Linked DNA regions of Mus musculus. The protein of the gene in region 2 interacts with the protein of the main gene of each other region in a pairwise test. Links are inferred from orthologs where the notes say so. Each region holds a gene or a part of one and is shown on either strand. Other genes may lie near its edges.

Region 1 (3,966 bases), on a different chromosome or scaffold from region 2:
GGGCTCTACCACTACAAACTTTCTTCTTTCTTTCTTTCTTTCTTCTTTTTTTTTTTTTTCGTTTTTCAAGACAGGGTTTCTCAGCCGGGCGTGGTGGCGCACGCCTTTAATCCCAGCACTCGGGAAGCAGAGGCAAGCAGATTTCTGAGTTCGAGGCCAGCCTGGTCTACAGAGTGAGTTCCAGGACAGCCAGGGCTACACAGAGAAACCCTGTCTTTTTTTTTTTTTTTTTCCGAGATAGGGTTTCTCTGTGTAGCCCTGGCTGTCCTGGAACTCACTCTGTAGACCAGGCTGGCCTTAAACTCAGCGATCTCCCTGACTCTGCCTGGGACTTAAAGTGTGCGCCACCACACCCCAGTGTCTTTTCCTTTTTGAGTCCAAATCTCCCTGTACTTTTGGAGTTGGCCTTTAGTTCTCTGTCCTCCTGTCTCAGCCTTTGGGAATGACCAGCGTGATGTGATCCACTGGTCTCACTCACAGAGGTCCCACCAGTCAGAGGAACGAAGCAGATGCGGCATCCAGAAGCCAGGCTGTTCTTAGGAACTTTTAGTGGGTGCGTTTCTTCAAAACAAAGCAATATGCTGTGGTTTCCTTTTCCCTCAAAACATGAAACCAAGGGTTGTAGCGTGGTGGTCGAGTGATAGCCTAATGTGTCAGCATCAAGGCTCAAGCTCCATCAGTACAAAAAAATCAGTAGATAAAATATGTGTCCCACATGAGCCTGGTGGCCCAAATCTGTCATCCTAGCTACTTAGGAGGCTGACACACAAGAATCAAAAGTTCAAGACCAGCCAGAACAGCTTAGTGAGACTCTGTCTCCAACAAATTAATAGAGGGCTGTGGGCGGGGCTCACAGTGCGGGGGGGGGGGGGATGGGGCGGGGCTCCGTAGTGGACCACTTCTTGCACCATTCTGAAAGGTCTAGGTTCAGTCTTCTCTTTGGAAACTCGGTTTCGTGGCTGCGTAAATGCGTCATGGCTTTGGGACAAACAGCTAGATCGTTTTAGCTTCTCGGTGAGTCATCGTGGGTTCTCACATGGGCTCTGCAGCGTGCAGCGTTGGCGGGGGCACCTGCCACCTTTGGCTTGGGTTCCTCGTTCGGAAAATGGCCTGATGACGTGGTGTCGCCCTCCAGGGTTGGGATGTGGAATAGACATAAGGAGAACACTTAGCTCCACTTTGCAGACATGAAGTACCCTTCCTCCTACCAGAAGCGTAGCTTTGGGCGAGTCACTCCCACCCTCCACGCTCAGCTTTCTACACCCATAGTGTGGGGGCGACAGTATGACATCACGGGACTGCTGTGGTGGAGTTGAAGTGGATCTACTCCTCAGGTGGACACACGGGGCTCAGAGAAAGGACACTCCTCACTGGCGTGTGAATGGAGGGCCCTGCGACTCTTGCCCACCTCCTTGGTCTTCTTTACACGTGCCCTTCCCCTCTTTCAGCTGGAATTTTGGAGGTGAATACTTCAGATACAAAGGTATCCCTTTTCCTGTCGGCATGTACTCACCGGAGAGCCTCAGTCTGGCTGAGAACACTAGCAACGTGCGGGACGACGACATCTTCATTGTCACCTACCCCAAATCAGGTACCGGTAGTGCTAGTCTGGGCTGGGGAGGAAGGGAGGAGAGAAGGGAGGAGGAAGGGGAGGAGCCTGCTTTGCAGAACCCGGCAGCTTGTCCTCTGCTAACAGTACCTTCCTTTGCACTGCGCACTAAGTCCCTGCTCCAGGGAGACTCTGAAGGCCTAGCTAATGTCCCCTCCCCTCTAGGGCTGCCACAGTGTCCCCAATCCTTCCCTGTCTCCCAAGCCTTCACAGCACTGAGTGCCACCAGCCGCGCATGGTTTGCTGGGTAATTTGTTCATTTTTGTTGAGAAAGGTTTTCATGTAGCCCAGGCTGGCCTTGAACCTCAGCTGGTCCTGCTGTCTCAGTGTCTCGGGTTCTGGAATGGCAGGTGTGTGCTGCTGGGCACAGTGTCACTGGGTAAACCTCTGCTTATCCACTGGAAGGTTAATCTGGCTCTCTCTGAGCGCTCTGTCTGCCCTGGCTGTTGCTTGTTCTCGGAACCGCGCGTGTCTGTGGAGGAGGTTCCTCATTTCGTGTGAATTCGCATGCAGACTACTCCACAGTCTTCACAGAGAAGGAAAGCCACTGCGCATTCTGCTTCTCTCTTTGTCGCTGTAATAGACCACCTGACCAAAAGCAACCGAAGGAAGACAGGCCCTGTGTGGCTTACACTTCCAGGCCCCAGCCTTATCACAGAGAAGCAACGCAATCAGGAACAGAAGCAGAAATCACACAGGATCCTGCTGTGACTGCCTGGCTCCTTAGAGCTTGCTCAGCTAACTCTATAAACCCCAGGCCCCTGCCCAGGAGGGGCACTGCCCTGAGTGGGCTAGGACCTTCTCTATCAATTAGCTATCAAGAGTGTGCCCCCGGGCAGCATATGTCTTTAATCTCAGCACTAAGAGGGCAGGGGCAGGTGAGTTCGAGGCCAGCCAGGGCTACATGGGGAGACAAATAGTAAATAAACAAAAAACATATTTAAACAAATAAACAATGATAAAAGAAGACAATCTATCACAAACATGTCCTCAGACCAATGGAGTCAACCCCCCAGCTCAGCTGAGATCTGGGTAATTCTGGGCTGTGCTGGCAGCTGAGGCGAACTAGGAGGGCTGGCTACATGGTGCACATCTGTAATCCCAGCATGTTGGAGGGGAAAGTAAGAGGGTCGGAGTTAAAGGTCATCCTCAGGTACAGACTGGGTTCGAGGCCAGCCTGGTCTACAGAGTGAGTTCCAGGACAGCCAGGGCTACACAGAGAAACCCTGTCTCAGAAAACCAAAATCAAGAAAAAATAAAATAACAAACAAACCAACCCAAAAAAGCCCTAACTCACCCCACCGAGTACAAGTATGAACCTTATAGATATCATGCTAAAAAAAATGGAGCCAGACACAAAAGGAATTACATGGGGCCCTTAAAATAGCCATGCTTGGTGGGGGAGGGGGGGAGCAGCTAGGGCGGTAACAGGAGTGAGATGGGGGCAGGGTGGGTGGGGCAGGGCCTACCTAAGGTGAGAAATGAGAGCATTTTTTTGTTTTGTTTTGTTTTTTTGTTTTTTGTTTTTTCAAGACAGGGTTTCTCTGTGTAGCCCTGGCTGTCCTGAAACTCACTCTGTAGACCAGGCCGGCCTGGAACTCAGAAATCCACCTGCCTCTGACTCCCAAGTGCTGGGATTAAAGGCATGCGCCACCACTGCCTGGCGAGGGCATTTGTTTAAGGATTGCAGTTTCTGTTGGAAAAAGGACAAGTTTGTTTTGTTTTGTTTTTTTGTTTTGTTTTTTTTTTGGGGGGGGGGTGTCAAGACAGGCGTGACTATTGCAAAACAACATGGTTGTCTTTAAATGTTGCCAACTCAACCTGGAACTTAAAATAGTCACAATGATGAGGTCCCCAGTATAGGGTTTCAAGAGCATAGAGAGGCAGCCGGCACAGGAGTGACCCCACCCTCTGCAGGGAAAATCACACACGCACACACGCGCACACACACACACACACACACACACACACACACACACACACACGCAGCCATGGATTGCGGGGCGGGACTTCCTTGCTCCTGTCTCCAGATTCAGCTTCACTGAAGAGGTCCTGAGACGTCCTGGTGGAGGGCTCTTGTCATTGTATATCCCCTAAAAGGCTCACAGATCAGGCTGGCGAGATGGCTAAGCGGGTAAGAGCCCTGACTGCTCTTCTGAAGGTCCTGAGTTCAAATCCCAGCAACCACAAGGTGGCTCACAACCACCTGTAATGAGATCTGACACTCTCTTCTGGTGTGTCTGAAGACAGCTACAGTGTACTTACATACAATAATAAATAAATCTTTGGGCCTGAGCGAGCAGGGTCCTGAATTCAATTCCCAACAACCACACGAAGGCTCACAACCATCTGTACAG
Region 2 (3,500 bases):
CAAGTTCTCAAACGAAGCTCCCTCCCCCCAGATGACTCCATTTTGTGTCAAGTTGACAACAAACCCAACTGGTACAGGGATGAAAGGAAATGGCTTCAGGTCTCAGCTTGTAGAATGTGGAATGAGATAAAATTTTTGGATGGCAATTTGATCAAATCTTTGAAAGGCCTTAAATATGTCCACTGTTTGACCAGTACTCCACTGTTTGAAGTTCTGTGTTCTGTCACCGGGAGTGACTCTAATAGCACGTGGTCAGTGGGAAAGGGACAGTGATATCCCAAAGCCACAGAGGCAGTCACAACAAAGGAGGGAAAGACCTAAAGTGCCCAAGAGAAAAGAGGATACAAGTGTAGATTCGCTCAGTGAATGGTTCAACAAAGTACTGCAGTTTGCATGGGTGCCTCTGGTGAGTGACAATTTCTTCTTTTCCATGTAACTGTTGGTGGTTAGCTCCACTTAAAAAAAAAAGTCTTGTTTTATGTGTGTAAGTATTTTTGTCGGTGTGTAGGTCTGTGCACTGTTTGTGGGACTGGTGCCTGAGGAGGCCAGAAGAGGGCGTTCGGTCTGCTGGCACTGTAGTTACATGTGGTTTTGAGCCATCATTTGGGTGCTGGGAACTCAACCTGGGGCCTCTGGAAGAGCAGCCAGTTCTCTTAACTGTCAAGCCCTCTCTCCAGCCCCTAACCCCCCTCCCAGTCTTCATTTTTAGAAGACAGTGAACAGCTGTTACACCATCTTCTCAACAGGCCTCTTCAGAGTTGAATGGCTGGTTTAGCAAACATGGAAGCCACTGGACTCATTCCTGCTGGGCACAGCAGTGACACTGTGGATGGAAGTATTAGAATCTCTCCAGGTCTACAGTCATCCTCAAGTTCTCAGCCAGGAAGGAGCCTCACCTCTCTTGCTCTCAGAGCCTACCATACAGTTTGGAATCTCACCTGAAACACATGGAACATACTCTTCAGATACTTATATTCCTTGCTCATCTTATCTGGAGGAAAAGAAAACAAGGATGTCATTATTCCTTCGGTGGGCACACTTTCCAAAACTCACATGAACTCTTCAGCTCCACACCCAAGCTCTCCCTGAGGTGATGAAACCGTCTTGGGATTCCCAAGTCGCTCTGGAAGCTTATCAAAAATCTTATCAGTTATTGTATCCCACCTGAACCGATGGATGAAGAGCTTCTGGGAGAGAGGCCAGGTACTTTCTAAACATGCTTCTCCAAGATCTCAGAGTTCCCACACTCTGTTCAGCTGTTTTAGTAAGACAACCTCCCCCCACCCCCGAGGGTCATCTGTATCTATGGGAAGGAGGAACAGAACCTCCCACAATGCATCTGCTTCTCCTTTTTGTATCATTTCCTCCTTTACAGTGGTTATGAAAACCACACATTCTCTTCAGGAAACTAGAAAACAAGCAAAGTGTAAATAAGACACTAACTTCAAACAGAGGAAGAAGGTTGTAGAGTGTCTCGTTCTCTCTGTGGACATTAGTCTATAAACCCCAAATCTGAAGGGTGCACACTCTGCTTTCCCCAAGAGCAGTGTAAACAGTGAGATTCTGTCAGCATAGCACTATGCACTACAGAGCCTTGCAATCACAGTAGCCCAGTGAGCATTCAAGAGATCACTGCCATTCTCCATGCAAGAAAACCTGAAGGCATCATAGTAATATTGTAGTTTTAGAACTTTAGAATGCACTTAAAAAAATTTCACGTTCTTGCTTCAGTGATGAAGCAGTTCCGTTCTCAGTCATTCTCATGCCTTAAGCCTCAGAAGGGAAATGTTGGACATCTGGCTGTGCCAAGCCATGGCTATAGGGATGCCAGGGAAGGCTGTCCACCTTCCTCCCAGCATCCCCCCAGGGCCCGACAGTACCTAGTTTCTCTTCGGCCAAGGCCTTTTCTGCCTTCAGGGCCTCCTTGTAGTTGTTCTCTAACCTCTCGAGCTCCTCTCTGTGAGTCTCTTTGAGTTCCCTGTGGGACCATCCAAGAAAAGAAGTTCAGCATGAACAAGCTGTTTCAGCAGGTAAAGGTGCTTGCCATGAAAGCCTAACAACCTGAATCTGATCCCTGGAATCTATAGTGGAGGGAAGAATTGCTTCCAAAAGCTGTCTTCTATGGTCCACAGAAACACAGTGAGGCCAAGCACATGGAGGGGAGGAGGAGAAGGAATATGCACATACATATCCATATATACATACATATACACACTCATGTGCTCACATACACATGTTCACATATACACACACATATACACACTTACATACTCATATATACACACACATGCTCACCTACATACACATGATCAAATACACACACATACTCACATATACACATTCACATGTTCATATATACACACACATGTTCATATGCACACCTACTCACATACACTCATACATACACATACTCACACATGTATACTCACACTCATATACACATATACATACACTTTCTCAAACACATTTACACACACATCCAGACACACATTTGTACACACATGCATACATATACTTATGCACATATGCACACACAGTCTCATGCACACTCACACACACACACACACACACACACACTCAGACACACACACACACACTCAGACACACACACACACACACACACACACACACACACACACACACAGTGTAGAGTTGAGCTGTTGCACTGACCTGCCCTCCCCCTCCCACTCCTTACCAAGGTGGAGCCCTCATGTCCTAGAGTATTCTTATGGTTTCTATTCTGAGTGAGGTGTTTCCTACAGTCCCTTCTTTGAATAGTGCTCAGGCAAGCACCTCAGACTCTCTTCTTAGTCAATAGTTTTTACTTACAGCTCTATTATAGAAGCACCCAGAATAGTTTAGAACCCCAGATCTAGCTCCCATCCCAGGATTTATATGCTGATAGTGTTTGAGTGCTAAAGTGAGAGCCCAAAGGCTTAAATCAGATGGGAGAAATCGAAACACACGTTACTACAGGAAAAATGCCTCTCTGCAAAGACTACGTATGTGATGTTATTCCAACATCAAGCAAGGAAAGCCTATGGAGACAGTTGTTTCAAGGCATTGCCTTGGGAGGGACTATGGAGGGACTAGGAACTGGAGCATACATACTAAGAGAGTGAAACCACTGTGTACAGCACTCTCACAGTGAATGCACGTCCACACACACTTATTTTTCACACACATAGAATATTGTGCACCAGGAGTGACTTCCAAGCAGGTGATGATGATGTGCCAATGCAGGCCCATCAATTGTAACACATAAAACATTTTTCAGAGATGCTGAAAGCGAGGGTGGCTATAGGGTGGAACACAAGGGATATGTGGGGGCTCTGTACCTTCCTGGTAATTTTGCTTGAAAACTTTAAAGTAATATAAAAACAACAAAGCAAGCTGGACGTGGTGGCTGGCACACACCTTAATTCCAGCATTTGGGAGGCAGAGGCAGGTGGATCTCTGTGCGTTCAAGGACAGCCTGGTCTACAAAGAAAGAAACCCTG

What was found.
Region 1: the proteins of Flacc1 (region 2) and Sult2b1 interact in binary tests that used the Homo sapiens proteins (3 or more experiments, as listed by UniProt). The two-hybrid records come from large-scale screens. The link is inferred for Mus musculus from reciprocal best matches to the Homo sapiens genes FLACC1 and SULT2B1.

Annotation. Positions count from the first base shown.
Region 1 is NC_000073.6:45,739,679-45,743,644, reverse strand, and holds the start of Sult2b1 (sulfotransferase 2B1), read left to right. Parts: upstream 1-1,166; 5' UTR 1,167-1,284; coding exon 1,285-1,591; exon of another isoform or gene 1,592-1,683; intron 1,684-3,966. UniProt on the Homo sapiens protein: Sulfotransferase that utilizes 3'-phospho-5'-adenylyl sulfate (PAPS) as sulfonate donor to catalyze the sulfate conjugation. Responsible for the sulfation of cholesterol.
Region 2 is NC_000067.6:58,668,490-58,671,989, forward strand, and holds part of Flacc1 (flagellum-associated coiled-coil domain-containing protein 1), read right to left. Parts: intron 1,979-3,500; coding exon 1,881-1,978; intron 992-1,880; coding exon 939-991; intron 1-938.